Linked DNA regions of Caenorhabditis elegans. The protein of the gene in region 1 purifies or fractionates together with the protein of each later gene. This does not show direct contact. Each region holds a gene or a part of one and is shown on either strand. Other genes may lie near its edges.

Region 1 (10,477 bases):
CTTTTGTTTAAATTTCTTTTATAGATAGTTTTCTAAATATTTCTACAATTTTATTATATTTTCAGGGGGAAAAAACAACTGCTCCAACTGCTCCAACATCTCTTCAAATTCTCCGTTTTCCTCAGCCAACTGATGGTGGAGCTTCTTCAGATACACTTGCATTCATGCAAGTTGGGCCTTGGGCATATCCATTGATGGGTGCAAAGACTCCAGTGCTTCGTAACGAATTCGGAGCATATTTGGTTGCCAATCCGACTCCAGAAAATCCAAGTGGGAAAAATTCAGACATTCAAAGATTTCAATTTGTAATTTTCAGACATGACTGTTGCAATCCTACTATCATCAGACATTGAGCGAAGATTAATTGAAGAACTTCACATTGTTCTCCGTGAATTCACGGATTTCAAAGAACAAGCTGAACCATCTACTGAACTGAGTAAAGAAGAGAAGAATAGGATTTCTACAACAATTTCGAATTTTCTGATCAAAGGAGGTCAAAAAATAGCTTGGGGAGTTGAAACAACAACCGTACGAGTGATTTCAAGAGTTGAAGATAATGGAGAACAGTATCGAACAACACTTATCGCAACGGACAAACCAATGCAAGTGTCTCCAGTTATCAAAGGAAGTGTAGTTTATATGCATAAAGGAACAAAGACAGTCGCTAAGTGCACAAGATATTTGTGTAAGTTTTCGACTTTAAGAGAGAAGTTTGTAGAGAAGAGATTCTGAAAAATATTTTGGACACGAAAAGTTGGCCAAATATTTTTTCAAGTATTAGGGATTTAAAAATTCAAATTTTCAGTGGACAAAATCGGAGATATGGGCGTTTCGATGGGAAAGAAATTGGCAGATAGTGCACAAAGACGATTTGGAGATGGAAAAAGTGGAGGACTCGTATCCGGAACCATTGGTATGGCTTATAACTGGTTTCCATAAAATAATTTTTATTTTACTATTTTCAGAAATTCTTGGAGGCGGAATCACTGGTGTTGCCACAGTTTGGATGAGTTTGGAAGATGGTTCCCGTCATCTATGCCGAAGTATTGCGAATCAAACTGTACAGAACGTGAAACTCAAGTACGGAGACGATGCATCAGATACCACTCATCATGCTCTTTTCGCTGCCGGACACGGAACACTTGCAGCTGCTCAACTATGGGATTTGGGACCAAGAAGTGTTGCTGGAAGGATGGCAAGAAAAGCTGGAATTCAAATGGTATCGGATTTGCATCACAGTAGAAAAGGAAGTCGTTTAGATCAAGAAGTGCCAGCTTTGGAGCTCAAGAAGGCTGTCTAGATTTTTTTTTTGAAAACATTATTTTAGAAACAATTTGAATACAAATTTCCTCATGTCTTCTTCAATTCCAGTTAATTTTTACGAAGTTTAATTTTTCATGCATCGAACTTAATTTTTTTGCATTGTATTATTTAATAAATCTATTTTCGCAAAACAGTTATATTTGAACCATACATGTATTTAATCTAAAATTCTATATCTCTGAATGTTTATGCCTTGAAAGCGCAAAAAATACCGATTTGTTTTCAGTGCGATTTTCGAAAAAAAAAAACGTAGAAAATTTTTGAGGATTTTAACGTATTGGAAAATCTCGAGCAATTATAAATTTTGGAAAAATGGCGCCTATTCCAAAAAAGAAGAAGAAAATTGTGAGAAAATCGATCAAAAAGCCTGTTGTAGAAGAAGATATGAAAATGGAAGAGGAAAAAGGTGAATATTCGAACTAATGCTTGCACTATAAATTGATTTCGCAATTTTTATCCGAAAATATCAAAATTTTCAGAAATGCTTGAACCAAAAGAGGAAAGCATTGAAACAGATAATAATGAAGATGAAGCTGGAAATCTGGACGATTCTGAAATTAAAACAGAAGAATCAGAAGATGATGAAATGGAGACTTTTGAGGATCCAGAACAAAAACAAAAGAAGACTGGTGTAAGTTTTTTTTTAACTTTTTTATTCGAAAATACCTGAGAATTAGGGTTGAATCCTAGAAAAAAAACGTTTTTTTCGTAATTGAAAAAATAAAAAAAAGCGAAACATTTTTTAATCGAAAAGGAAACATGAAAAATCGTTTTTTTTAAGCAGAGCTTATAACGAACATTTTTGCATTTTTTAAATAGAAACACTTTGCACAGTTACAATTCTGAGTGTCGTTTTTCTGTATAGAATTTATTCCGAGTCTAAAGCGCAAAAAAATACCAATTTTTTCCTAATTTTAATGAAAATTTATGAGTTTTGAGTTACCGACAGGTTAAAAGAATTTTCCAGGTTTTTTTCGCTTTTAAAAATTAATTTTGTTTAAAAAAACAAAAAATATTCTGCTCACAATCAGAATGTTAGAAAATTTTAAGTAATTCTTCAGAAGGATTAGTTAACTTCAAAAGATCCCTTCTCGGATTGTTGATAAAATATAATTTTAGACTATTTTAGAGGCCACAGATAAAAAAAAGTAATTTTCAGGTTGTCTTCTTCTCAACAATTCCTCCAAAATACAACGTGGTTCGAATGCGTGAATACTTTGAAAAGCGATGCCCTGGACAAGTTGGTCGAATCTTCCTTGCGGTAGCTTATTTTTTTTTCAAATGAAATCATAAAAATTATATTTTTAGCGTAACAAGCACTCGAAAAATCCGCAATATCTATATTCAGAAGGATGGATGGAGTTGAAAAAGAAAAAGATTGCAAAAGCAATTGCTGAACAAATTGATAACACTCCGATTGGTGGAAAGAATAAGGATCCAGTGTCGAGCATGTTATGGAATATTAGATATTTATCTGGGTAAGTTATTCATGAAAATATACATGAATTTTTATTTTTCTAGTTTCAAATGGGTACATCTTATGGAACAATTACAATATGAAAAAGAAGTGGAAAAACGACGAATGAATGTGGAAGTCGCACAGGTACAGTAACCCCCGGTATTGGCCACTTTGCATTAATATTCTTCTTTTCAAGGCTCGTCGAATTGCTGCTCACTTTGAAGAACAAATTGAGAAAGGAAAACATTTGAGAAAGCTTGAAGCAAAGGTTACAGCTTCCGGTGGAAAGTGGGATAAATTCCAGCGAGATGTCCAGCAGAAGAAGGTTGTGAAGGTGAAGAAGGAAAGATCAAAACATGTTAACACAGAGAGTAGCGAATTGATGAATATGATCTTCAAATAAAATTAAATCTTTTTTCTCATTGTTACTTTTATTGTTACTTTTTCACTGTTTTTGTTGCCCTATTGAAAACTTTTTTAAATATAAAAGCGTGACCATAATTCTCCTCCATGATCACACAAACCTTTTTCCAATGTTTAAAAATGTAGTTCCTTCTTTTGAATTCTTCCAAATGTCTCTTCTCGTCCACCAACTCCGTTTGAGCTCATGCAGACGCTTGATCTCTAGCACGTCATCATTGTTATCTTCAAAACCACGTAATGAGGATGATATTCCACATCCATTGCAAGTATTGTCGGAGCAGGAAACCGGATTCGTTAAAACTGGTTTGTACTGAAGAATTAAAAGATTCAGAGAATAAATAGTGCAATTTAAGTTCGTCAATTTGCGGATACAGTGATAAAACCTCTGGTTCGTGAAATGGATCGAACTTCGGAAATGACTCCAGCTGTGATCAATGGATGCTTTGAAAATGGGGTATTATATGAAAGTAATTATCCAGTTGCGACACTTTACGGTCTCGCAACGAAACAAATGTATTTTTTAATTAACTGCGCAAAACGATGCGCCTTCAAATTAGTACAGTAACCCATTTTTGAGAAATGTATTACTGTACTTCTTAAAGGCGCATACTTTTTTGCGCGACGTCTACATAGTATAGCAACTGGGTAATAATGTATTTTGAAAATGTTTAAAGTTAACCTCAGCTGATGGGCATCGAAGTTCCTGAAAAGTACGGTGGCCCTGGAGCAACGTTTTTCGATGCTGCTCTCGTAATTGAAGAAATTTCAAAAGTTGATGCATCGGTTGGAGCAATGGTTGATGTTCATAATACACTCTTTATTCCTTTAATTATTGAACTTGGAACAGAAAAACAAAAAGAGAAATATCTTCCAAAATGTTATACTTCATCAGTTGGATCATTTGCTCTTTCCGAGACCGGATCTGGATCTGATGCATTTGCATTGAAAACAACTGCAAAGAAAGATGGAGATGACTATGTGATTAATGGATCAAAGATGTGGATCTCAAATTCGGAGCAATCGGAAACATTCTTGGTGTTTGCTAATGCGGATCCAAGTAAAGGATACAAAGGAATTACATGTTTCATTGTTGAAAAGGGTACTAAAGGATTTACCATTGGAAAGCATGTAAGTTAACTTTTATAACCATTTTCCAGAGTTATTTATTGTGACTTTTCGCTCAAAAAAGTCTCGCCACGAACAAAATATCAAGTCAATGACGCTCAAAATGAGTGCCTCCAAGAAGTACAGTAACCCATTGTATCGTTTTTTCATCGTCTCTTCTATCCAAGACATTATTTTGCTGAAAAAATTATTGAAAAACATGAAATACATCAAGGACTCAAAGGAAATCAATGGAAGCAGGCATATGGGGTTACTGTATTCCAGTTATTTTATTCCTGGCGAGAACGGGGGTACAGTAGTTTGTACAAAAACGCAACAAATCGAGTTTTGCGGTTCCGCTTTAAAATGGACGTAATAATCATCAAGTTCAGGAGGACAAATTGGGAGTTCGTTCATCTTCTACGTGCCCACTTCATTTTGATAATGTACGCGTTCACAAGTCGGCAATTCTTGGAGAATTTGGAAAAGGTTGACTATAGAATTAATAATTCCAATTTAAGTACACAATGTTTAAAGGTTACAAGTACGCAATTGAATATTTGAATGCTGGTCGTATCGGAATTGGAGCTCAAATGCTTGGATTAGCTCAAGGATGTTTTGATCAGACAATTCCATATCTTCAACAAAGAGAACAGTTTGGGCAGAGAATTATTGATTTCCAGGTGAGACATAAAACATGACAGAGAAATATATATATACAATAGACTTCTAGGGAATGCAACATCAAATTGCTCAAGTCAGAACTGAAATCGAAGCTGCTCGTCTGTTGGTTTACAATGCTGCTCGTATGAAGCAACACGGATTACCATTTGTTCGTGAGGCAGCAATGGCGAAGCTCTTTGCATCACCAAAGAATTCCCCGTCGAGAAATACTATCGTGACTGTAAAATTGGAACGATTTACGAAGGAACTTCCAACATTCAATTGAGCACCATCGCGAAGCTAATTGACGCCGAATTTAAACAGAAGGCCTGAAAATGTACCTCTCCTCCTTATTGCGAGGGTTAATTCGATATTCTCATTTGATAAATATGGATTCATGTTGGTGTTCTAAGGGAAAATGTTGTTTGAAAATTTATTCTAATTTGTATCTATTGAACGTCTAGTTATATAAAATTATAAGAGAACGAGAGAAAAAACGAAACGTTACAATTTGATTATTAATAGAATTCTTCGTTTTCCCCATAATCTGTATCTTCATAGTCAGATTCATCGAGATTATCTTCATAACGTTCGTAGTCATAATCGGGATCAAAATTGCTATCCTCATCGTTATCATAATCATCATAATTGTCATCGTACTCCGAAGAATCGTCAGCGAAATGGGGTAGACCGAGTAGAATTTTCTTCTGAAAAATAACGTATTTATTTGGAGACATGAAAACTGAATATTGAACTTACAAAACTAGGCGAGAAATCATAATTTCCGGTTTTTCCAATTTCTAAATTAATCCAATTCTCACTTTTCCATAAAACTACAAGTCTTTGATCATCTGGAAGTTGCTTGTGATATACATTGCTGAAATTAAGATATTCAAAAAATAATTGTCAAATTATGACATACTGGCCAGAGTCCTGCTCAACTTGTGTAAATCCTGCAGGAATATTTTCAAAATCTAGGCCACTTGGGTTCATGATGTCAAGTTTCGATCCAGTTGATCTGGTAGCCACGAACTTCTCGATGACGTCACAAATAAGGTCACCAGTAAACTTCTTGGATTTGAGAGAGATCACTGACGCTTTTAGTGCCATGACGTCTTCATAGGTTGCTGTGGTGATAGTAGAGATCTGAAACACATAATTTCTCTAGTCACAAGTTATATGTTTTCTAAAGTGCAACGCATATATTCATAACTCATCTTACCTCGATTTTGTCCATTTTTTGCACAATTGCCGCATTTTTCCCGAGAAAATCGAAATCATCGTCATCATCACGAGCTTGTCCGTCTATTTTCAAACCATTCAGCAAACTTCCATCACATTTATCAAACATTTTCCAGAGAAGGTCACATTTTCGCGGATTTCTCCAAAAAATGGATTGAACTTTTAGAGAACTTTCCATGTTATCTAATGTCTCCATAAACTTATTATTCAATTCCTCGAAATTATCTGATAATTCTACAGTTAGGAATCCAATAACAACATTATTTTGAAAACACATTCGATTAAGGAATGCGATAGCCTCATCAATTGGTCGAGATCCTTCAATTATAATATCATTTTTCGAAGATTGGGAGATTCTTGTGTCGCATTCGGGAGTCATTTTAAACTTGAGAGAATGTACATCTTTGAATAGTTTAAATGTAAGTTTTACGAGAACTCCTACACTGTGAAGATCCTTGATATAGACCGATGGAATGAAGAGTTTTGTAGATGAAACAGCATGATTCATAGTAGAAGAGGTTGCACGAAGTTTGCATCTAAAGTTTTGATTTTTTTAAAATTATTTAAGGAGAATAATACCTTGAAATTAAATCACATTTCTCGATAAGCTTCTCTAACAATTCTGGGGGCAAGTCTAATATTTCGATAGGTTTTCTCACCATCTGAAATTCAGAAAAAGCAATTATTTCGGATCAGTTTGTTACAGCAAACCTTGGCGGAAATTTTGAAAATATATCACAAATAATCTGAGACCTGAGCTGTACAACAGAAGTTGGAAACAAAAAAAAAAGTTGAAAATAGTTTTAAAAATTGAAAGCATTTATTTTTTGAGTATCGAAAAACTATTTTTGAAACTATTTTAATAAATTAACAACGAATAAATTACTACGTAATCTAACAATCATCTGAATCACTACTGGAATCGTTTGAAATATCAATCTTCTTCCTTTTTGCTGCTGTGCGAACACTGAAAAAAGAAAATTGAAAAATTTAATTTAATTTTTACAAACTCACAGTTCTTTGATATCTTTTAATCTCATATTATTCCAATTATTTCCTGCTATTCGTTCCGTGGTAGTTTCCGATTCCATATCTTCTCCTTCTGATGATGATGACTGATCTTTCCAGTCAACTCCTCGCTTTTCAGCTTCTCTTTTAACCCATTCACGAACTTCAGCTGGCCTCATTTTTGATAAATCTTTCACTTTAAGTTCTGTACTTTTCGATCTTTCTCGTCTCTCATCTTTTGTAGTAGCTTCTAATAACAAATTCCGTTCGAATCTATCGTCTTCAGAGTTTGATTCATCCGACGAAGACGAAGAAGAGCACGATGATTCATTCCACGTGTCTTTCCTATTTCGAAAGTTATCTTGGAGAACTTTGAAGGTTTCAGTGAGAAGTTTTCGAGCATTCATAGCAGATCTTCGACCACTTGGCTGAAAATTTTGATATTTATAATTTTAATTTTAAAAGTATTTTGAATTACCGTATAAATTTCTCCATCAGTGTCTCTTTCACTTTTGCCAGGCGTAGTTACTTCTGAGAATCGAGGAACATTCAGGTAACTTCTTTTAGCTAATAAATCCATTTTTGATTTTAGCCGCTTCCCATCGACAGACAAAATATTGTGTGGTTCATCATCAAGTCCACCATCCGAATAGTTATTTTGTCCCATCAATTCATTCGCGGTTTCAGTATAAGACGCTGGACGAAGTTTTGCAGTTTCTCTGGAAATTCGAAGGGTTTAATTTCACGAAAAATTTTGTAGAATATTCTAAAAAAGAACCTGGTGACGACTCTAAATCCATGAAGAACGATATGAAGTAGAAAATCAATTTTATTAAATGATCGATAGCAGAACCCACAAATGACTGTCTCGTTGATGAAATCTTTTGGAATAAAAAAGTATTGCTGTGGAAGAGTATAATCATTTGGATCTCTGAAAGTTTTTGTTCTGATAAGAACATATTTTGAAAAAAATTACGTTGCATTGAACGTTGATTCTCCCTTAATCGTATACTGAAGAGGTGTGAATGTTCTAATATCGAATGAAGCTCTGATTTCATGTTTCGCCGATAACCATTCATAATTCATGAATTCTTCAGTAAAAAGGTACTTGTGATGTTGATCAATATGTCGAAGAGCATACATTCTCATAATGAGTTGAGTCGTGAAAATGTGAGCATGGGCACGTGGACAGAGACAACAACGCCACTTGAATTCATCTTTTCGTAGGTTCTAAAAATCGAAAAAATTATTTAAATTTGAAATTGAAAAAAAATGTACCTTGAAAACATTAGAATATAGAAACAATTCCTTGGGAAATTCAAAAGTGTATACTTCTTCTTCTTCTGGATTTTCAGCGTTATTCACATTCTCACCGGCTTCGTTCGCAACTTCTTTTGGGTCAGGTTGGACATGTGTGAAGGATGAGCTCGATGCGATACTGAACAAATAATAATTGAAAAAAACGAATGTTATGCAGGCAGGCCTTATCAAAAAATCAGAGTTGTGCTACGAATTCAGTAATTTTGGTGCTCCAGAATATATCAAAATTGTTCAAGTTTTACTACGCAATAGTTTTTTATTTAACTTACGGATCTAGACAACTATGACTTGATAATCGAAAGTGTTGTTTAATTGTTTCAGAAGACACCAAGCAGCAACAAACAAGACAATATCTGACTTCTTCCTTCTCCATTCCACTTCTTTTCTTCAACTTTGTCAGGAAATTCTCACCGTTTTCCATTTTAGACAAGTTAATAGTGTAAAATGTCAAATAGCTCCGCCCTTTGCACATAATTCTTTGTTGTCGTATATGCATTAAGGCTCTCACATCGAAATCAGTCTCTTCATTGAGATGATACCACTCAAATTCGAAAAACCCAGGAACACTAACCATAACTTCTTCGAAATGATGATGTTCTAAATGAGTCAGGGCGTATGTCCGCATACTGATTGTCTCATTGAAATTAACGGCTGATTTTCCTTCACACATTGGACATTTCCAGCTAAATTTTGAATTTAGAATTCGGAATGTCCCAAGAGACCGCCCATTTTTAAAGTTCTGCCACCATCTTGCAGAGTTTGAACTGAAGCTGTTTAGTGTGGAATCCGTTGAAGAGAGGCGAATACCCCAAAAGTTTGAATATGATTTTCCAGCGGCGATCCGAAGTTCGATTAAAGAGTTGTCAATGGAAAATTTGATGTGACGATAATTGCAGGCTGAAATTTAAATTTAAAATATCGAATTTTGCTTCATCCCAAGTTTACTTACCATGAATTCGTTTCAGATGATCTTCTGTTTCTTCTTTATTTACAGGAATACAGCAGGTACGACATTGGGTTACTTCGTTCTACAGTAAGTCTTTCATTAATATTATTTTAAATATTTATTCCTACCTGATGGCTCATTGCATGTTCCAAATGTTCTTTTTCATCGTTTCCCATCAGTTTGGAGCAGTATCCACAGACATGCAACAGATTTTGCTGAAAACAAGTATTTTTTCGCTCTGATTAATTACCAATTTCTACAAACCTGTTGCAAACTATTTGAATCGATACTTGATGAGTTTCGTCGAAGCTGTTTTCTTTTTGGAGGCATTATAAGTTTGAAAAATAAAAGAAAATGGAAAGAAATCTCGCTAATTTGTCCATTCAAAAAACAATTCTACCCGCGTTTCTCTGCTGTCTCCGTTCTCTGCCGCGTGACGAAAGAGCGCGCTTGCATTAATTCATTTCGGCGGTTATTCAAAACAGAGTTTTTGGCAGATTTTCAAAAGTTTCAATTAGTTTCCAATTAAAGGCATAGGCAGGTTAAGAATATTTATTGTCTCACTGGAATCATAGTAATTATAACAGATTAGATGATGTCAAAATTGTAGAACAACTTTTTTGGACGTTCCAAGGTGGTAGAAGTCGTTATTTCAAAATGATAATTTTTAAAACTATCATGAACCTTTTTGCGAAAAATAACGTTTTTTCCTTGTTATAAATATTGTTATTTTTAAAATTACGAACTATGTATTTAGTTATAGAATGTATATGGACACTGTTAGAGGTACATACAATTGAAGCATAACGTCAACAGTGGAGACACAGACAACGAACTATTGGATAGTCGTTCTTTTCCGAATAAATCCCAAAACTATGTTATTTCTCTCCGTGACACATATCGATTTTCTCATTTCACGTCTGCGTCTTTTGGTATCAGAAGCTTTATTCAGACTGTAGATTTAAAGTTTAAAATAGACTCCGCCCATT
Region 2 (9,664 bases), on another chromosome or scaffold:
TTCACCTATGAGCCTGAGCGAGGAGCCGCTGATAAGGCGATGGGAGAGTCGAAGGATGTTGTTGTGACTACGAATACTACATATTTGGAAGATCTTGTCATTCTTCTCAAGACCCCAACACTTGTTGCATGCACTTGGGGATACACTGCCCTGGTATTCGTGTCTGGAACTCTTTCGTGGTGGGAGCCTACAGTAATTCAACATTTGACTGCTTGGCATCAAGGACTTAATGACACAAAGGATCTGGCAAGTACTGATAAGGATCGAGTAGCTCTTTATTTCGGAGCAATCACCACAGCTGGAGGACTCATCGGTGTCATTTTCGGATCGATGCTCTCCAAATGGCTGGTAGCTGGATGGGGACCATTCAGAAGACTCCAGACAGACAGAGCACAGCCTTTGGTGGCTGGTGGCGGGGCGTTGCTTGCTGCTCCATTTTTACTTATTGGAATGATCTTTGGAGATAAGAGCTTGGTGTTGCTGTACATTATGATCTTCTTTGGAATCACCTTCATGTGCTTCAACTGGGGTCTGAACATCGATATGTTGACGGTTAGTGATGCGACATTGAAATTTTTAAATTCAATGAGTGAAACAGGGTGTTCAGTGATTGATTTTCCCGATTCCTATTGACTTTTGTTGTTTGTGAAGCGAATCAAATTTGAAGCTTTTCTCAAAAATATTTTCATTTTTTAGTGATCGAAAAATCAATCTCCGATAAAAATATTTAGAGTTTCCGTAAAGATCAAGGATCCTTCAACTGCGTTTTCTGCAAAAATAAACGAACGTGAAAACTGTTTCTCTTTTTTCAAAAAGTACCTGAAAATCGGTTCAATTACTGTACTGAAACAGACAAAATAAGTTAAAAAACCGGAAAACCTGAAAACCAAAAAAAAACAAACCGCCGCACACTCGTGGCGCCAGGCTGTCCTATTACGGTTTGACCTACAAAAAATGCGGGATTTTTTTGTCCAAAAAAATGTGACGTCAGCACGTTCTTAACCATGCAAAATCAATTGAGAACTTTGCGTCTTTTCTCCCGCATTTTTTGTAGATCAACGTAGATCAAGCCGAAATGAGACACTCTGACACCACGTGCACACCAGAGAACGCATAATAGCAGAACAAATTTCAGACTGTCATCCACCCGAATCGGCGAAGTACTGCTTTCTCCTACTTCGTACTGGTATCCCATTTGTTTGGCGACGCTTCTGGTCCGTATCTCATCGGGTTAATCTCCGACGCAATCCGCCACGGATCCACATATCCTAAAGATCAATATCATTCATTGGTAAGTGCCACGTATTGCTGCGTGGCACTGCTTTTGCTCTCTGCCGGACTGTACTTTGTGTCCTCACTCACGCTGGTCTCGGATCGGAAGAAGTTCCGAGCGGAAATGGGTAAGTGCTCGTTGTTCTTGTATGGTGTCGGGGAAACGTATATTTTAGTCAGCTATTATTGGAATTATTTCAGGTCTCGATGATCTTCAATCCAAGCCGATTCGAACATCAACTGACAGTTTGGAACGGATTGGAATTAACGACGACGTTGCGTCGTCCCGACTTTAATTCCTCCTTGATTTCATTGCTTTAATGTCCATAATTTGGGTTTATGTATTTTTAGAACAACGGGTTTTTTGTCGTTTTTGTGAAGATTTTTGTAAACTGCTAATTTTTATTGTATAAATAAAAACTCTTTTAAATAAAAAAAAATGTTTCGGAATAAATTAGAAGACAAGACGTGCCGAACGAAGTGGACAGCTACAGTAGGCTGCATCAGGTCCTGGGATTCCAGGTGGTCCTTCAGGTCCTGGCTCCCCTTCGTCTCCCCGCTCTCCATCCAATCCTGCTGCTCCAGGTGGTCCCTCTTCCCCTTCTGGCCCAGGAATTCCTGGCTCTCCATCCTTGCCTGGGAGTCCTTCAGCTCCTGCAACACCCGGTGCCCCTGGTGCTCCTGGCATTCCTATCTCTCTGATTCCACTGGCGCCTGGTCTTCCATCGACACCTGGCTCCCCGTCTTCTCCTTGATCTCCAGCATCTCCAGGTTCTCCCTCGACACCTGGTGGTCCATCATGTCCAACTTCAAAGTTGTCAACTCCCGGTGGTCCTGGTGGTCCCTGCTCTCCTGGCTCTCCGTCTGGACCTGGAGGTCCTGGCTCTCCGACTGGGCAGCGAATGCATGGGGGTCTTTGATAGATGAGGGATTGATCAAAGAGTGGAAAGTCTGGTCCGGGTTGTCCTGCGTCTCCATTCCATCCGTCATCTCCAGGGGCTCCTGGCTCTCCTGGTGGTCCTGCAGGTCCGGGTGGGCAGTTATTGACCTTATTCATGCATCCACACTTTGATTCTCCACTTCTCTTTTGTCTTACGACGGAGCGATTGATTTCGATCATATCATCCCAGGCTTCAGTTGCGAACTTCTGAAAAATTAGGCCAGATTGATGAAAAAAATTGCCGCGTCGTGAGCCGTGAGTCGTGAGCAATTATTTCAAAAAAAAAAAACTTTGATAATATTTTTCGAATCAATGTTATCTTTAACTATACTATTGCAGTTTCAGAGACTTTAATGTTTTTCCACAAGGAACACTTGGTATTCCGCATAGTTTCTTATTATCCCACACGAGAAATTTTGTGCATTTTGAGCTGAAACTACGGTCACCGGTCTCGACACGAAAAACTTTTGTTAAATAAAAAAGGTGTGCGCCTTTAAAGAGTACTGTGTTTTCGTTGCTACGTAATTTGTATCTGGTTTTTCACAGTTTTTCTCATGAATTTACGTGTTTTTATTGTTATATTTGCCAAAAAACTGTGAAAAAATCGATAATTTTTGCTCTTGCAGAACTTTCATCGATTGTTTTAAAAATAGTTATTTGTTAAAAATTATATACAAACACGCGGAAAATCGATTAAAATTCTGCAACAGCACAAGTTTGAAACTACAGTAACCTTTAAAGGCGCACGATTTTTCTTGGATTTAACGAAAAATTGTCGTGTTTTTTACAGAAAAAACTCACATTGAACTCTGCCACGTCATCAAGTGCCGTGGAATAAAAAGTCCGAAAATCTGCGAAAATGAGCAGCCCCGCTGTAATATACCCGACGACGAGTATCGACGAAACCGAGACGGCTGCGCAAATGAAGTTGTTCGACATTTCAGACAATCTCTGCCTGTCCTCCTTGCCTTCCAATCGGCCTTATGTACTCTGCCGGCTAATGCCCGTTTAACGAGCGATCGCGCAATTTTCTCATCATTATAACGTGCTTATACTTTCAAAACGAATGAATTCATTTCGTGTTTATATGGGTGTTTATCATCAAAACAACACACAAATACAAGGGAGAGAGAAAACTGAATGATTAATGAGACATTTCGAAATGATATTAGAATCCGTACTTTTGTCGCGCCATTCGCTTCGATTGCTTCTGATCGGCCCATTGATCTTTGAGCTGCTCCTCGCGGGATACTGCCTGAAATTAAGTGAATTATGTGATTTCTAGCACAAGCTCTTAAAAAGTGTTGATCTACGCAGATTTCATACTCCACGAGGACAACTTTGCACTTTTGTTTGGCTAAAATCGGGTTTTTCGATTTTTTTAAAATAAATTGTTAATTTTGAAAAAAAAACTGTATTTTTGTAATTGAAATCAATTGATTTTGCATTTTCGGTGAATTTATATTTTTCTCGTATTTTTCCGTAAAATTATTGTTTCCGATTTGTCGGTTTTCGAAAAAATTGAAAATTTTCGTTTTTTTTTAAATCTTCAATTTTTTGAAGACCGAATATTCCATCAAGAAATTCAGCCAAAAAATGAGAAATAAGTTTTAAAAAATTGACTTTTCCATTCTTTCGCGATTTTTTTTTTGGGTTTTTGATGCAAGTAAAAGCCTGAAAATCTATAAAATCTGGAATATCTCTTACCAAGCTGGCCAAATACGTAATTTGATGCTTTCTTCTCGACATTTGTCCTTGAGTTTGAACTTGTGGCAATGGAGCAGAAGTTGCTTCAACAAATGCGCGATGTCCAAGATTCTTGATAATATTTGTCTTAACATCCGGTCCGAGAGCATCATCCACATTCACATCGACAATTGAATTGGCCATTTCGTTGATCGAACGACGTTCTTCTTGTCCAATATCATGAGAGAATCGCATCAAAAGCTTATGAGCTTGCTCGTCATTGATCTTCCGATGAAGCCAGGCATTTGAAGCAGATGGACCTTCTTGAACATCTTCTTCTTCTTCTGGCATTTCATACATTTGTCGAGGATCCATTCCTTCATCTGGACGGGATGGCCCAACTACATCCATGCTGCTGTTCATTGTCATATATGGAATTTCTGATGGAATTTCTGATTCTTTTCTAGTTGGAGCAGATGAGAAACCGAAGAAATCGGTTGGACCGTCATCATCGTCATCACTGTCGTCTGGCAGTTTTGGAGCTGGAGCCGGCTTGAAAACTGGAGCAGCAGCAGGTGTAGCCTGGAAGAGAAAGAGTTTTAAAATTAAAGTTTTAAATTAAATAAAAATTCAGTGAAGAAATCTGGAAATTTTATCCTGATTTTTAATATTTATGGGGACAAAAATCGAACAAAAATTCCCCGGTTTTATATTTTAGCTTGAAACAGCGAATTTTCGCGCCAGAGACGCCGTGTGTCGATTTACGAGATTTGTGTATATTTACAAGATTTTCAATCTTTATCGGATGCTGATTTCTGTTTTTCAACGAGTTTTCTTTATTTCCGTCGGTTTTTGACAAAATGTTTTGAGAAAATGTGTTTATTAAGGCCAATTAAACATTATATTATCAAAAAACCAAGTAAATTTCCAATGCTTAGGTCACAACTCAGCGGAAAATCCAAATATATGCTTTTCCTGACTGAAAATCGAATATTTAGTTAGTTTTTTGATATTATAATGTTTAATTAACCTCAAAAAAAAACACATTTTCAAAAAACGTTTCGGCAAAAACTGACGAAAATTGAGAAAACCGGAAATCAGCATCCGATTAAGATTGAAAATCTCGTAAATATACACACATTTCGTAAATCGACACATGACGTCTCTGGTGTGAAAATTCGGAAATCTCATGGGGACGCAAATGAAAATCGGCGATTTCAAGCTGAAATAAGAAATTAGGGAAATTTTTTTACTTAGTTATTCGAAATCAGAAGTATATTTTCTCAGAATCCGCACTCGACTTTCAATTTTTACCTTTTTAGAAACTGAATGTGGAACCATGGACTTATCGAATACATTTGCACCATCTGAACGATTATCTCTTCCTTTTGGAGCTGGAAGGTTTGACAAAAAACTGTTTCCAAGCTTCGGCTTAACTGTAGCAACAGCAGCACCTTCATTATCACTGTCATCGCTGGAATTTTCGCCAGTAATTCCTGCGAGAGCTCCGAACGCCGAAATTATAACTTTTCCTTTTGCTTTTTGAATTCCACCACCAATTTTCGGAATTTTTTCAACTTTCATCGCTTTTTTCGCCAATTTTTTCTCCTTTTTTCTCTCTTCTTTTTGTGCTTTTTTCAGAGCTTTTTTCTCCAGCTTTCTCCTTGCTTTCTCGGCCAATTTAACCTCCCATTCTTTCGGTTTTACTAATTCTTCGAGAACATCTTCTTTGTTCATGTTTGGTGAGCTTGATTTTTCTGTATTGTCAAAAAATGCTTCATCATCGACGAGTTGTTGATTTTGTGGAGCGAGTGAATTCTGAAATTTTGGAAAATTCGAAAATGTTTTCAAACTGAATAAAGAATAATTTGCTTACTTTTTGTTGTGTTTCCATTTCTTCATCACTTTCTGATTCACTTCCTGCGTAATCCACAAGGCCCATTTTGAGAAGAATTCTTCGAAGAAACGAATAATTTCAGACGAAATAAACAATACGAATATTGATTTCTTTATTCGAGAGGACTACACACAATAAGAAAGCAACAGCGCTCCAACGTACACCGCGCGAAAAACACAATTTTTCAAACAGCGATGGAGGGAAATTTCTTGAGTCCTATTTTGTTTCTTGTTCATTTGTTCCTTGTTTCATTTGCTTTTCTGTTCTCACTATTCAATAAAAATAATAATTTCAGTAAAATGTCAGCCAAAAATAAAGAGCTCGCCGAAGAGGACGTGCTCAACATGACATGCGACAAGCTTCGCAAGGAGTTAAAGAAGAAAAGGGCTTCGACTGCGGGAAAGAAATCGGAACTTCAATCGCGTCTTTTGGAGGTTTGAACTCAGTCGAAACAATGTGATTAATTTAACTTTTTCAGTTTCTCGCTGGCCAAAATAATGCCGGAAACGGGGAGGCAATCAGGGAAGAGCCGGAAGCCGAGGCTATGGACACCGACGAAGCACCTGCCAATCGCACATTCACAGTTGAAGAGGAAGAAGAAACTGAGAATACTACTGGCAGATTTGTTCGTAAGTTATATTCCATTTAGTTGAAATTTAAACAGCTTTATTACAGACGAGAATACTCCGACAAATGCGGTTGCTGTCGTTTTGGATGATGACTTGAGAAACCGTCTCTGTGGCAGTTTGGGAATCGATCTGCAAAGCTTCGAGGTGAAGTCACGCCCGAGAGTTCATCGTCTTTCGACAAGACTGTCTCTCCGCGCTAGTTCGTCGACTCCTCAAACATCTGAGCGACCAGGAATGCCGATCGAGAACAGAGGAATTACGCCAGTTCGTCAGCGTGCTCCATCCAGTGGAAGAGACAGATTCGCAATGATTCATGCAAGAGAGATGGAAAAAGAAGAAACACTCGGAGAGCGTCAAGAACGATTGAAGAAACGACACGAATTCATGACCGGCGACGTCCCAGAAGCTATCAGGAGACTTGCTACCCCGAAAAGTGTGCCAAGACGTGACCCAGTTGATAGATCAACTACAAGATCTGCTGCGCGCAATTGGCAAGTTCAGGATCCTGAGAAAATGTCCTTCCAATTCGGGGATAAATCTGCTGATGATTTTCCCGCTCTTGTCAGCTCACGAGCTGGCTGCTCATCGTCATCTGCTGCCACCACCTCTACCAAAAAGACAAAGTCCGTTGCAAGATCTCATGTGGACGTGAAGAAGCTCACCAAGTCACAAATCCCGAAACCATGCCGTTTAACTTCTCGAAAAATCATTCCTGCAACTGTCCCAGAAGATGATACATTCACCGAGTACATTTCCACGCCAAAAGGAACCACTCCAACTAGAGGTAACTATTCATATTTATCTTTTTTTCGCTAATTCATAGCAATTTTTAGTTCCACGACGTGCTGGTTACACACCACACTCTACGAGAAAAGTGTTCGTCGACACGACTCAATTGACGGATCGCGAGTTCACTTTGGCACTGGAGGAAGGATTAATCCCCGGAAGAGCTGCCACGAACCTCGAGAAACAACAAGTGGAGAACAAGAAGCGCCGTGACGACATTATCGCACTCAAGCGTAAAATGAATATCAAGTAGATATCTCAATTATTTTCTTATTTATCTTCACTCACTCGTCTCACTAGGCTAAACCTGTAAAATATTTCGTTGTTGACTTGTCGAGTTTCTGAAAATGAATTCTTTTAATTTATTACAATTCTCTTTATTTATTTTCTATTTATTTATTCCTCTATTCAATTGTTTGCGACAATTGTGATATCTTTGAATATGTCTTTTAATTTTTTTAGCAAGAAATATACGGTGGATCCGGATTCCCGAAGCGCAATTCGCGGCACGGTTTAATTTTTTAATTTACCATAAAAGCGCGTGCCGCGGAATTACTTTTCGGGTTCCACCTTCTATTTCTCGCGCTTATTTTGGACTTTAATTACTCTGACAATATAATATTAATCTTTTCTAGTGCAAAAATGGCGTTGTGGGTGGACAAATATCGACCAAAGGACTTGTTGGGAAAGGATGGCGTTGATTATCACATCGAGCAGGCCAATCATTTGAAGTTTCTCTCCGCAGACTGTATGCCGCATCTCTTGTTCTGTGGTCCCAGTGGAGCTGGAAAAAAGACACGGATCAAGTGTCTGTTGAGGTTTAATTATTGGTAAATTCAGTAAATAAAATAATATTTTTCAGAGAGCTTTACGGTGTTGGAGTCGAGAAAACGCAGCTCATCATGAAGTCGTTCACTAGTCCGTCGAATAAAAAACTTGAAATACAGACTGTCTCGAGCAATTATCACATCGAAATGACGCCGTCTGATGTTGGAATCTATGATCGAGTTGTTGTGCAGGATCTCGTTAAAGAAATGGCACAAACGTCTCAAATCGAATCAACTTCTCAAAGATCGTTCAAAGTTGTCGTTCTTTGTGAAGCGGACTCACTGACTCGTGATGCTCAACACGGACTTCGTCGAACTATGGAGAAGTACGCGAATAACTGTAAAATCGTTTTGAGCTGTGAATCCCTGTCCCGTATCATTGAGCCACTTCAATCTCGTTGCATCATCATCAATGTGCCAGCTCCAACCGATGAAGATGTGACCAAAGTCTTGCGGAAAGTGATTGAACGGGAGAGCTTTCTACTTCCGGAGAACGTTTTGCAAAAGATTGTGGAGAAGTCTGAAGGAAATCTGAGAAGAGCTATTCTGATGACTGAGGCTTTAAGAATGGAGAACGAGAGTGGTGTGGCTGAAAGTGTAGTAATTCCGGTTCCGGAATGGGAGATTTATATCCAAGAGACTGCTCGTCTGATCCTCCAGAAACAGAGCTCCGATATGCTTCTGAAAGTTCGCGAACGATTGTACGAATTGCTCTCCAGATGTATTCCACCAACTGTCATTTTTAAGGTGAGTTATAAGCACACAAATAGTATAAAATGTTCAAAAATATTTAGAAATACATTTTCAGAAACTTCTCGAGCATCTCCTTCCCAAATGTCCGCCACAAATTGCACGTGAAGTTGTCAGTGAAGCAGCGAAATTCGAGCATCGCCTTGTTCTCGGACAAAAAGCAATTTTCCATCTTGAAGGATTCGTCGCCGCTTTCATGGACATTTACCTTACTAATGCTTCTAAACCCAAGTGATCTCTGTCCCCGCGTATTATATTATTCTACTTTTGTGTAATCATAAACTTGAAACGAACTACATTATGGTTGTGTGGGTATTTACAGAAACAGCATATAATAAAAATCGTATCGCAAAGGAGAATAAAATGACCGGCGATAAAGCTTAAAATATTTAAATAGATTATGAAAATGACGTTATGCATCACTGTCCCGGGGTTGAGGTTTCGGGCTTTGCGCAGACTTCAGAAGACGATCGAGTTGGGCCTGGGTGGCTGCGGCATCCATCGGCTGGGAAACAGTGGAAGGAGAGCTCACCTTGCTCGGCTTGTCCTGAAATATGGAAATTCACATAGAAAAAAGATCTAAGATTGATTTACCTTATTGAGCAAGTTGGAGAAGAAATTGGCGAGTGGACTGTCCTTATCGGTAGGCTCTTCTTGCATAGTCCTCGGCTTGGGAGCGGCCGTAGTGGTTGAAGTTGCCAGGATGTCCATCAACTTCTTCAAGAAAGCCTGATCTTCCTCGGCTTCGATGAGCTGCTCTTTTGCGACAGGTCTAAGCTTATCGCGAGTCGGCTCTAAAGCTGAATCCACATCCGGAATAGACTCCTGAAATTAATCATGAACTCGGATTCTCCAATTACTTATGTAAAACTTACAC
Region 3 (11,982 bases), 5.9 Mb from region 1:
CAAAATATTAGGAAAATTGGATTTTTTTCAGTTTTTAGCGCAAAAAATCTGAAAATCGTTTTTCGAAGTGAAATTTGCTGAAAATTATTTAAGTTTCATTTATTATTCTGAGATAATTGGAAAAACAACTGAAAATTGTCGAATTCAGCGCAAAAATGCCCAAAATTTTTCCATAAACGGTTTTTTTTCCACAAAAAACCTCATTTTGCAGTTCGAAAATTAGATTTTTACGTAGAACAGCCCCAAAAAAAATTCTAGCAAAAAATTTAATTTTCTAATTAAAAAATTAAAAATTCCTCAAAAACCGACGATTTTCCGTCAAATAATTATTTTTCCGCTGAAATTTTTTCGAAATTCGAGATTTTCTCAATTTTTCCAGAAATCTGAGTTCAAATTCAGATTCTACGTGGCAAATAACCGCTTATCATCCATTTTCAAAGTTTTTATGCAAAATTCCGTCAAATTCGGTGTCTGGTACGCAAACACTAGGCTACAGTAACCCCGGGACATCCGATTTGACGACATTTTGCACTAAAACTCTCAAAATTATGATTTAAGAGTATTTTTCCACGTAGAATCCGATTCTGAGCTTCAAATTTCACAAAAAATCAAAATTTATGCGAATTTTTGCAGTCTCCTGCCCCTCGGACAACGTGTAATCGACAAGTTGTGCCGAATTCTCGACGTGGAATTTCAGAACTCGGGAGCTCTGAAAATCGCGATGCCGATCGTCGGAACACAGCAATTATGGGAAAAAACTGGCAGATGGGAGGCGATGGGACCGGAAATGATTCGATTTCACGACCGACAGCAGAATCATATGTGCCTTCAAGTGGGTGAGCAGTTGGAAATGGGGAAAAATTGATGAAACAACTCTAAATTCCTAAATTCTGAGCTCAAAATCGGATTTCTCGTAGCAAATTACCCCTTCATCCCAATTTTCAGTTCTTTAGTGCAATATGTCGTAAAATTCGGTGTCCCGGGGTTACTGTAGCATGGTGTTTGCGTGCCTGGCACCGAATTTGACGGGATTTTGCACAAAAACCTGAAAATGCTGGATTTGAGGTTATTTGCACTGTAGAATCCAAATTTGAACTCAGATTTTCAAAATTTTGAGTTTTAGTGCAATATGTCGCAAAATCCGGTGTCCCGGGGTTACTGTAGCATGGTGTTTGCGTGCCTGGCACCGAATTTGACGGGATTTTGCACAAAAACATTGAAAAAGTCAAAATAGGGATTATTTACCACGTGGAATCCGAATTTAAACTCAGATTTTCAGACTTTTGACTTACGAGCCAAACTTTTGGGCCAAAAATTCACTTTTTGCCGAAAAAATCCACTAAATAGTCAAAACTTCGGAATTCTGAGCTCAAAATCGGAGTTCCCATAGCAAATTACCCCTAGACCGCAATTGTCAGGTCTTTAGTGCAAAATGTCGTCAAATCAAGTGTCCCGGGGTTACTGTAGCCTGGTGTTTGCGTACTTGACACCGAATTTAACGGGATTTCGTCCAAACACTCTAAAAATAAAAGGATATATGTTATTTAGCACGGAGAACTCGAAGTTTAACTCAGAAATTCAAATTATTTAGGTTTTTGCCCGAAAAAATCCAATTTTTTCAGCCAACCGCCGAGGAAATGTGCACAGAACTGATCGCAACACTATCACCGCTCAAAAAATCACAATTTCCCCTTATTGTCTATCAAATCGGTGAAAAATTTCGCGATGAAATGAATCCGAGATTCGGATTAATGCGTGGGCGTCAATTTCTAATGAAGGATATGTATTCGTTTTCCACTGATGCGGAGACATCTCAACAAACATATGCACAGATTCGTCAGATTTATGATCGAATTTTTGGAGAGATTTTGCAGTTGGACGAGGATGTGATTAAGGTGAAAATTTCATTTAAAAAAAGTAGAAAAATCGATTTTTAGACTCAAAAATTCAAAATTTTGAGCTAAAATTGGCAAGTTTTGACTCATTTTTAGTCTAAAATCGTTGAAAACTCGAGTTTTAACCCAAAAATTCAAATTTTCCGCCAACCGCATGTCGCTTGTGCGCTCTATTGCGAATTGTCGATAGAGCGCATCTACAACGTGCGATCCGCGGGAAATCTGAATTTTAGGCTTAAATTTTGCTGCAAACGCGCCCCAACGACAGAAATCCAAAATTTTTCAGGTGGAAGCAGATTCCGGAGTACATGGAGGTCATATAAGTCATGAATATCACCTGAAAAGCAGTTTGGAGGAGGATTTTGTGAATTTCTGCGAAAATTGCAAAAATCACAACAAATTCGAAGGTCCAGGGCCGGCGAAATGTGAAAAATGTGCTGAAAATTCATCAAAAACTGTGCAAAAAATCCCATCCGTCGAAATTGCGCACACATTCCACCTCGGCACCAAATATTCAGAAGCTCTCGGAGCCAAATTTCAAGGAAAACCATTGGATATGTGCTGTTTTGGAATTGGTGTAACACGGCTTCTTCCGGCGGCAATTGATTTGTTATCAGTTAGTGATAAGGCTCTCCGACTGCCCAGAGCTATCGCTCCGTTCGATGCTGTGATTATTGTAAAGAAAGTGAGCAATTTTGGAGAAAAAATTGAGAAAAATCGAATTTTTCGCTAAAAAATCGTGAAAAATCAAGATTTTTCACTGCGAAATCCAGAAAATTCGATAAAATCTTAGTTTTCAACTCAAAAATTCAAATTTCCCGCCGACCGCATGACGCAACTGCGCTCCATTGAGAAAACTGCCATTTTCGTGTTAAATTTTTTTTTTTCGATTTTCCCTACTGAAAATGATTTTTTTGGAGAAAAAACGAATAGAATATCATTAGAGCGCACTTGCAACCTGTGATCGACAAGAAATGTGAATTTCTGAGATGATTTTTGACGCTTTTTGGCGATTTTTGCTCTAAAATGTTTAAAAAATTAATTTTTCAACCAATTTTCCTTGCAGAGCCTCATGTCGAATGTGATTGTGGAAATGGCGAGCTCGTCGGCTTCTCGTTATCTAAAAGGAGGCATTTTATTGGACGATCGTGTGGAAATGTCGGCCGGAAAGCGAATTCACGACGCAAATCGACTCGGAATTCCATTTATTCTCGTTATTGCGAACGAGACGGAGCGGAGTCTTGCTACGCAGGTAAAAACGGTCGAAAATTCCATTTTTTCAGCAAAGAAAAAGCGGAAATTCCACGAAAAAACGGGAGAAAATAGGCGAAAATTTGAAAATTTCAGCAAAAAATTCAAATTTTCCGCTGCTCGTTTACTGCAAATGCGCTCCAATGATAATTTTCACATCGGAGCGCATTTGCAGCCTAAAAAAACACAATTTTAAGCCAATTTTCCCCTATTTCAGAAGCCCGTCATCGAGGTATTCACGACACACGCCAAGTCTGCGGAGCCCATGTCTCAGGGCTCAATGAGCTTGGACCGTTTCGTGACTTTTGTGCAATCTACGCTTTATGGAGGTGGCGGAGCACACGATTCTGGTCATTTGGCACATAATCAAGTACTTGATCAACTCGGATCTCATCAGCATTGAATTTTGTTGAAAATTTGATTTTTAGGAGATTTCTATGGTTTTTTTGTTACATTTCTTTGATTTTCTTGTTTTTTCCTGAAAAAATGTGATTTTTAGACTCTTTCTAGTGTTTTTTGAGGTTTTCGAACCTTTTTATACCTATTTTGCCCTTCAAAACACGAATTTAAGCCCATATTCCAGGCTAATGGAGCCATCCAGCGAGCAAGAGTCCCAGGAAAGTCAGAAAGTCGACATGGAGCCGGTTTTCCGCCGGGAATCATTCGCCGCGTTGAGAAGAAGTGAGAAAATTGGAAAAAAAACGGCTGAAATTCAAGTTTTTCACCCAAGAATTTGAATTTTCTACCGACTGCACTGTGCAAATGCGCTCCAATGAGAAAACTGTCGTTGGAGCGCGATTGCAGCAGGATCGGCGGGAATTTCAAATTTCTGAATCAAAATATTGATATTTCGCTAGTTTTGCGCGTATTTTAGCTTAATTTTCAATCAGGGATCTAATTTTTCACGATTTTCCCTCCCGAATTATCGATTTTTTGCAGATAACGTGGCTGCTCGTCAACTCCGTGTGGTTACCCTTAACGCGTGGTGTCTCCCACAACCCTGGCCCATCGGATCTACGGATCGAGTTCACCGACTGAATAAAATCGGCCAATACATGATTGATGAGCTCTACGACATTGTCGGGCTCCAGGAGCTCTGGTCATATTATGATTTTGTGCGACTCAGCGAGCAAGTCTCGTCGGTTTATCCGTATTTTCACTATTTTCACTCGGGATTCACTGGCAGTGGTGTCTGTGTGTTTTCTAGGTGATTTTTTCTACAAAAAGATTTAAAAAATCGATAAAATCCTACTTTTTCCGAAAGTTGTCCGAATGGCGCAGTGGGATTTCCGCCGACTACCAATCTGAAGAGCGGGGTTCGAGTCCCCACTAAGGCAACATTTTTTGATTTATTGTGCATACGCTGCAAAAGTTTTTTTTTTAACTTAAAAATCTTAGCATTCCCACAAAATTAGTTTAAAAATTTTTTCTGAAAACATGTAATTTTTTCTGAAAATATGACAATTTTTTTTCGAAAAATCCAAATCTCAACTCTAAACCTTCACTAAAAACAGTTTCCTGCTCATTTTACAACGTCTAGAATCTAATTTCTGCAAAACAAAAAATAGTTGCCACCGTGGGGGGTCGAACCCCGGTCTTCAGTTTGGTGGTAGCCATCGAAAATCCCACTGCGCCACTTGTTCACATTGAAAAAATTTTCGGTTTTTTTCAAACATTTTGTTAAATTTTTAGAAATTTGTGGAATATTTGGGTTAAAAGGATAAAACTGAACAAAATTACGTTTAATATAATATCCTTTTAATATTAATAAAATTTAATATAATATAATATCCAAAAAAAAAAATTTTTCCGAATTTTCATCAAATCTTCTCCAATTTTTTTCCATATTTTCAGACACCCAATCGTATCCACTTTAACAAATCGATATTCTCTCAACGGATTCGCTCATCACATTCACCGCGGCGACTGGTTCGGCGGAAAAGTTGTCGGGCTTACCGAAATCGAGATTGACGGCGATTTGCGCGTCAATTTCTACACAACACATCTTCACGCGGAGTACGATCGTGAAAATGATCTCTATTTGCCGCACAGAACCGCGCAGGTGCTTGAAAACTCGAAAAATTCAGAAAAAATCAATATTTTAGGAAGTTTTACTCAAAAAATTAATTTTTCCATCAAGATTTCGCAGTTTTTAACTCAAAAATTCAAATTCCCGCCAAAAAATCCATAGGACTTCTTGCAAGTGCGCTCTATTGATAATTATGCATTAGAGCGCATTTGCAGCTGGGAATTTGATTTTTCGAGTCAATTTTTCGAGCATGTGACTCGAAAATAAGTGAAATAGACAATTTTTGACAAAATTTAATTTTTCAGGCATTCGAACTTGCTCAATTCGTCCGCCATACGGCTCGCGGAGCCGACGTTGTCATTGTGACCGGAGATTTGAATATGGAACCGTGTGATTTGGGCTTCCGGCTTATTTTGTCGCATGCCAAACTTTTCGACGCGTGGCGAATGAGCCACGAAGTGGAAAATGAGGATTCCGAAGGAGAACTACTCAAATTTCGAGGAATTGCAAAAGGCGGAACGTGTGATCGACCAGACAATTGTTATACGAAGCGGGCGCTGAAAAATGTGGTGCGAATTTGAAAAATTCGCTGAAAATTGAAAAAATCGTGAATTTTACTCGAAAATTCGAAAATTTAGGATAAAAATTGCTAAAATTTGGATTTTATAGCCTAAAATACTATGAAAATTGTAAAAATTCATAAAAATTCGTGAATTTTTCACGAAAATTTGAATTTTCCCCGATTTTCTCATTGGTGCGCACTTGCAATGTAGTGATCGCCGCGAAATTCAATTTTCCAGCACAAAATTGGAGAAAATCAGGGATTTTTTTTGGTATTTTATCTGAAAAATCTGAATTTGAACCGATTTCCTTGAATTTTAGAGCGTTTTTCACCAGATTTTCTCCAAAAAATCGATGTGCACAATTTTTACGCAAAAAAAAAATAAAAAATAGGAAAAATCAATAATTTATCGATTTTTTTCAAATTTCAGGACGACTCCAAACGCATCGACTATATGCTATTCAAATCCGGGCGGTGCAATGTAAAATTGGAGGAATGTGAGATCACGTTGAACCAAATTCCCGGTGAAGACCTTAATTATTCGGATCACGTTGGCCTCCGCGCTCGTTTCACGATTGATGATCGTTTTCGACACGAAAAATCTGTTAACACTTGGGAACCGAATCGTCCGTTGCTTATTGAGGCTATCGGGCTTGTTGCAGGTGCGGAAAAGTTAGGCCACCGAGTGGAAATTGGTGGCCGAACTTTTTTCTGTAGTGTTTAAGAACACAGATTTTGCACTCGTGGCCTAGAATTTTTGAAAAACTAGGCCATCGTGTAGAAAAGTTAGGCCACCGAGTGGAAATTGGTGGTCGAACTCTTTTCCGTAGTTTTCCTGGGAAAAACACATGTTTCTGTGCAAAAAAATGCGAGAATTGGTTTAAAAAATCTTATTTTGTACTCGAGGCCTAGAATATTTGGAAACTAGTCCCTCCAAGAAAAAAAGTTAGGCCACCGGCTCAAATTTTGTGGTTTTCTACTTTTTTTCTTTTTTTTTGACATTAAAAAATTTATTTCATGTTCGTAAAACTAAAAAGTCCATAAAAATCAAGTTTTTTAAAAACTAGGCCACCAAATGAAAAGTTCGGCCACCAACTGAAAATAGCCGATTTTTCCCCAATTTTTTGCATTTTTTCAGGCGGAGAACGTCGCGCACGCACGGATCGCATCTTTTTCTTCATTTTGGCGGTAATTTGTCTGATTTTAATCCTCGGAAGCCTATTTTTCGAAGTTTTTCCGATGGGATTCGCCGTTTTACGCTTTGCACTGACTGTCGTTGGAGTTTTCTTCGTTTGGCAAGGACTTATTGGCTTAACGTTGGAACGGAAGGCTTTGAAGGCCGCAAAACAGGCGATTCAGCAGATTTTGAATAATTAAACGCTGAAAATTGCAATTTTTAACCCAAAAATTCAAATTTCCCGCCAAAATTCGAATTTGTACAGCTTTATTATTAAGGGCATCTAGTTTCTCAACCGTTTTATCGATTTTTTTCTGTGATATAGTTTTTTTTTGCTAATTTTCCTGTTGAAATGAAGAATTTTATTATATATTTTGATTTTTCTCTAATTTTTTCTGTGAATTTGAATCGTTTTCATGCGATTTTCATATTTTTATTGATTAATAAAGTCAGGCCACTGCCAGAAAACTGCGGGGACTAGAAAAATCTACCTGAAGATTAGGCCACCACTGTTTGGAATGATGGTTTTTGGCGAATTTTTGGTCAAAATTCGCCATTTTTGACAGATTTTTGTGAAAAATTCAAATTTCGGTTGTCGTAAATCTAGTCCACCAACTTGAAAAGAAGTTAGGCCATAAACTCCTTTCTAGCTGATTTTTCTGCAGAAACACAATGGATCGAATGTTGGGATGGTTGAAACGTCGATCGGAGAACGCCCAGGTCACCTACTCGCGATTCGGACTGCCCGGTGACGAAGTGGACGAACGGCCGCCACCCACGCTCTGCCACGTGGCACATTTTGACGACGACGCTCCGGAATACCGCGCGTTTTTTACACATGCGACACGGGCGGCCGCCATTGCCGCTGGCTTTGGGCTCAGCTGCTCGCTCTTCTCGTTTGCAATGTTCTTGTTCGAATTCCGATGGGATGATCATGGCCGAGGTTTCGATGCGGGCACTGTTGGTATGGAAAATTAATGAAAAATTAAATTTCCGGCACTTTTGTCGTTGGAGCGCACTTTCAGCATGCGATCGGCGCGAAATTTAAATTTTTGAGTCTATTATAAAGATCTTGGCCAAAATTTTGCACAAAAACGATAATAATCTCAGGTTCTGTTGATTTTTTCGCCGAAAATTTAAGTTTTCGGCATATCTCTCAATAGAGCGCGCTTGCCAGCGATCGGCTGGAAAACTGGAATTTTTCCTTCAAATTCGAAATTTCTGGGGCATTTCTCAATAGAGCAGACTTGCATCAGGCGTGAAATTTGATTTTCTAGCACGAAATCTCTACAAATCGTGAAATGTTACGAAAATTCAAACAATTTTCTCATGAAAGTTGAAATTCGATTTTTTGAAAATTGATCACAAATTTATTTCGAAAACCTAAAAAAACTTTCGATCGGATGCAGTAAGCGCGCTCTATCGACAAATCTGGTAGTTTTCGCAATAGAGCGCGCTTGCAACATGCGGTCGGCGCAAAATTCAAATTTTTGAGTTATTTTTCCAGTTTTTAAGCAAAATTCGTCCTGAAAATCCAAAAAATTCAAAATTTTTGCAGTTGCCTCCCTCCTGTTCCTGATAATCGGCGTCCTAGTCCATTGGCAAGTTATAATCGGAATAAAAAAGGAGTCTGCGGTGCATATGATCCCAGCAATCATGGTCTACACGTTTTTGATTGTCGTCGAGCTGATTGTCTACGTTTTGGCCGCGTAAGTTTAGAAACTGCCCGGCGGACTAGAAAACGCAGCTGAAAAACCTCGGCCACCACTTGAAAATCCAATTTTTCTTCAGAAATCACCTCGTCAACTCGGCTTCCCTGTTCGCCTATCCACCGGACAAACAGACGCCAACGTTCCTCACATTATCGATTTTCTACCTGACACTTGTCGGAATTCAGACTTCGATGCTTTTGTCGATTACCAAGGCTCGGAACTACTACGAAGCCAAGGATATCCATAAAAAGGAGGTTCGGGTTGCCGAACATGGGGTTAGTTGCCGGAAAAGTTGAAATATTTTCGTGAAATTACTGTTTTTGAGCCAAAAATGATCTTTTTAGCGGTTTTAGCTTTGAAAAACGCTAAATTTGGCGATTTTCGAGCCAGAAATGGTCTTGACACGACAATTTTCTGTGGACTTCAAAAGGGTGTGCGCCTTTAAAGAGTACTGTAGCTTCTAACTTTTCGTAATTCTTCTCAGGAGTGAGCAGCAATTGCGGTTTGACAAGTGTTTTCCGGCAAATCGACAAATTGCCGGTTTGCCGGAAATTTTCAATTCCGGCAAATTGCCGATTTGCCGGACAGCTTTAATTCCGGCAAAGCGCCGATTTGCCAGAAATTTTCAATTCCGACAAAGTGCCGATTTCTCGAACAGCTTCAATTCTGACAGTTTACCGATTTGCCGGAAATTTTCAATATGGCAAATTACCGGTTTGCCGAAAAATTTCAATTCCGGCAAATTGACGATTTGCCGAAAAAAATCGTTTGCCGCCCATCCCTGGTTTTTCTCACAAATACAGCGATTTTTAATAAAAAACCATGAAAAATCGATGAAAATTCCGCGAAACAACGTAATTTTGTACCTGCAGTACTCATTAAAGGCGCACGCCCGCTTTTAGTCTAAAAATAAATTGTCGTGTCGAGACCCAGTACCATATATTTGACCCAAAAATACAAAATTTCACAGCTGGGCAACATTCCAGGGACCCAGCGGGAAGAGCCGAAATTGTGTAGGTTTACGGAGCTGTAGTAAAGAGGAAGGCTCCGTAAATCTACACAATCTCGGCACGCTACGAGACCCTTAAATTTTGATTTTCAGTGTTCAAAACCGCTGAAAATCTTAAAGATTTTACTCAAAAATTAATAAAATTCCTCAAAAATCCTCAAAATTTCCCTGTTTCCAGAAACGCCTCAATCCCCAAATGCAAATTGTCTACGTCAAAGACGGTGACCAGGTGGACCCCATGTCGACCGACGGTGAGCCGGTGACGTCACCACCGCCACGTGTCATTTTGGCGGCCAACGATGACATTGCCTAAATTGTTCCCTTTTTCTATTTTTAATGTAAAACCTGTATTTCTCTCTCCAATCTGTGTATCTTCTGTACCATGGCTTTATTTTGCATAATTTCTCACCAATTTCTTGTCAGTTCTTCTTACCTTGCCGTTTTTTCATGTAAAAATACATAAATTTTAGTCCAAAAATTTTTTTCTGAATTTTCTGCACCAAGTTTCCCGGATTCTTTTACCGAAATTTAGCGATTTTCTGCCAAAAATTTCAGAAAAAAGGATAGGAATTTTTATTATTACAGAGTGTCTCAAACAATCGGAATTATGTACAGAATGGTGAGGAATTTTTTTTTTGAAAATTTTTCAAAAAAAGTGTGGAGGTTGTAAAGCTAATGAGAGGGAGGGCAAGACGATGAGAAAAACGAAGAAATTATGAAAAAAAGTGATTTACACGTGGCACTCCTTGGGCGAATTGTTGTTGAAGACGATCTCGTAGCGATGATCCCATCCGAGGGAACCTGTCCAGCATCTGAAAAAATTTTGATTAAGGATACTGTGTTTTGTTGGTTGGACTTGTGTTCCGTACGCCCTTCTAATGTGATAAGTTTGGCCAAATTACCCGGGAATCACCAGAAATCACAATTAGAACTAATTAATTCTGAATTACGGTGGATTTCGTCGAAAACCCTGATGAAAACCTTTAAAAATTGAAGATTTGGGGGGGGGGGGGGGTCTAATTAAGCCCAAAGCGTAGAAAATGAGCGAAAATGTAGTTTGACAACACATTTTGCTGACATAAGCTTTAAGTCCTATGCCTAAGCCTCAGCCGAAGCTTAAAAACCTGTGCCAAATTGCCTACAGAATAAGGGTCGACACTTCTGAGTCACCACTCGAACCGGATGTCTCAGGGCTCTAACCTAACAAGCCTGAGAGGCCAAGGCTACGGGCCAAACAATCAGCCACCAATTCTTAGTTCCTTTGAGTCTACGGTTTAGACCTGAAACGGAAGTCTAAGGGTATTAGCCTGAGCCTAAGATTCTGGGGCTATCTGGGGCTTGATCCAGACTTGAAACATATGTCTTATAGCCGTAACCTAAGAATGTGAGCTGGAGTTCAAAAAGGCCTTAGATAGAGTGCCTAAAGTTGAAAGCATAAGCTAAAACTTCTAAGCTCAAAATTGAAGTCTAAAGACCGTAACCTGAAGTCCTAAGCCTGATATCCTTATGTCACGGTTCTAAGCAACTCAAGCTTAAAAACCTCAACATGAGCTATAAAGCAATGGCCTGAAGTTCTAAGCTTAACAGCCCTCCGAGCCTACAGTCCTCATCCCAAGACACAATTGCTCACCGGAAGTAATAAATCTGCTTATTGATGGCCTTATCGTCGAATCCTTGCAAATCCTCAAACTCCAATCTCAAATGATCCATGGTCCGTCTATCGAACACGTATCCACTTTTAACTCCATAATCCAAAATCCGCCCAAGCGCCGCTGCTTGTGCTTTTGTCGCGTGAATCACAATGTCACTGCATTTTGGCCAGAATGTGTCACGATCAGCAATGAATCCGGAGTCTAGATGAAGATCCTCGTAGACGTCGTTGAAGGCTTTCAGGATGCACTGGAATGCGTACCAGCGCTCCAGGGAGATGTCCGACATGGATATGACGATGAGCTCGGCGATTGGGGCGTCTAGCTCGACGGTTTCGACGCCTTCACGGAAGACCTCGAGCATTCCTGTAAGAAAATATTGAAATAACGCCAGTCAGCTACAGTACCCCAGAACTCACCAAGAAAGACGTAAAAATCAGCAACAACCCACGCGTCATCAATCACAAGGCACGCGGTATCATCCTCGATTCGGATCGCCACATAGGCCTTCGAATGCCTCTCGAATGCATCATCAGAAGCACATGCTTCATTGATATCACGTTTCCTCAACTCCAACTTTCTGATCTTACTGTACTTCTCCTCCAAATGCTCCTTAACCTCTCTGCAAAGACGGGCGAGGCGGATTTGCTCGAAGAATGACATTTGATCGATGACATGGAGCATCAGATGCATCGGCA

What was found.
Region 2: the proteins of acdh-4 (region 1) and rfc-3 fractionate together in Caenorhabditis elegans (co-fractionation; one large-scale study listed by BioGRID). This does not show direct contact.
Region 3: the proteins of acdh-4 (region 1) and T27F6.6 fractionate together in Caenorhabditis elegans (co-fractionation; one large-scale study listed by BioGRID). This does not show direct contact.

The regions. Positions count from the first base shown.
Region 1 is NC_003279.8:6,541,509-6,551,985, reverse strand, and holds acdh-4 (Short/branched chain specific acyl-CoA dehydrogenase, mitochondrial), read left to right. Parts: upstream 1-3,310; 5' UTR 3,311-3,354; coding exon 3,355-3,508; intron 3,509-3,558; coding exon 3,559-3,659; intron 3,660-3,889; coding exon 3,890-4,333; intron 4,334-4,701; coding exon 4,702-4,798; intron 4,799-4,846; coding exon 4,847-4,992; intron 4,993-5,042; coding exon 5,043-5,258; 3' UTR 5,259-5,369; downstream 5,370-10,477. Other genes in the region: spg-20 (Inheritance of peroxisomes protein 1), read left to right, coding at 66-270, 317-685, 806-913, 966-1,300; F57B10.8 (Activator of basal transcription 1), read left to right, coding at 1,636-1,729, 1,803-1,954, 2,483-2,584, 2,632-2,801, 2,845-2,926, 2,979-3,185; T10E9.1 (F-box domain-containing protein), read right to left, coding at 5,491-5,679, 5,732-5,849, 5,895-6,118, 6,195-6,750, 6,794-6,876; T10E9.2 (C2H2-type domain-containing protein), read right to left, coding at 7,109-7,181, 7,229-7,650, 7,701-7,941, 8,001-8,153, 8,199-8,452, 8,501-8,660, 8,812-9,439, 9,492-9,570 and 2 more.
Region 2 is NC_003282.8:13,087,917-13,097,580, forward strand, and holds rfc-3 (Replication factor C subunit 3), read left to right. Parts: upstream 1-7,845; 5' UTR 7,846-7,852; coding exon 7,853-8,028; intron 8,029-8,072; coding exon 8,073-8,784; intron 8,785-8,845; coding exon 8,846-9,022; 3' UTR 9,023-9,164; downstream 9,165-9,664. Other genes in the region: spin-2 (Major facilitator superfamily (MFS) profile domain-containing protein), read left to right, coding at 1-552, 1,136-1,400, 1,474-1,568; col-132 (Nematode cuticle collagen N-terminal domain-containing protein), read right to left, coding at 1,727-2,419, 3,014-3,151; prcc-1 (Proline-rich protein PRCC), read right to left, coding at 3,381-3,467, 3,920-4,480, 5,213-5,716, 5,775-5,840; C39E9.12 (SAP domain-containing protein), read left to right, coding at 6,095-6,229, 6,274-6,424, 6,471-7,208, 7,258-7,463; dli-1 (Dynein light intermediate chain), read right to left, coding at 9,200-9,334, 9,382-9,612, 9,663-9,664.
Region 3 is NC_003279.8:12,487,247-12,499,228, forward strand, and holds T27F6.6 (Putative neutral sphingomyelinase), read left to right. Parts: upstream 1-3,729; 5' UTR 3,730-3,733; coding exon 3,734-3,827; intron 3,828-4,085; coding exon 4,086-4,353; intron 4,354-5,000; coding exon 5,001-5,208; intron 5,209-5,480; coding exon 5,481-5,744; intron 5,745-6,167; coding exon 6,168-6,399; intron 6,400-6,875; coding exon 6,876-7,114; 3' UTR 7,115-7,284; downstream 7,285-11,982. Other genes in the region: pars-2 (putative proline--tRNA ligase, mitochondrial), read left to right, coding at 634-832, 1,623-1,895, 2,182-2,580, 2,962-3,147, 3,364-3,549; T27F6.7 (uncharacterized protein), read left to right, coding at 7,587-7,878, 8,473-8,623, 8,706-8,901, 9,814-9,948; K11D2.1 (RCC1 domain-containing protein 1), read left to right, coding at 10,243-10,254; T27F6.8 (F-box domain-containing protein), read right to left, coding at 10,366-10,447, 11,266-11,650, 11,704-11,982. UniProt on the Caenorhabditis elegans protein: Catalyzes the hydrolysis of sphingomyelin producing a ceramide (N-acyl-sphingoid base) and a phosphocholine. C.elegans contain specific sphingoid bases, which are unique or different in structure compared to the sphingoid bases found in other animals.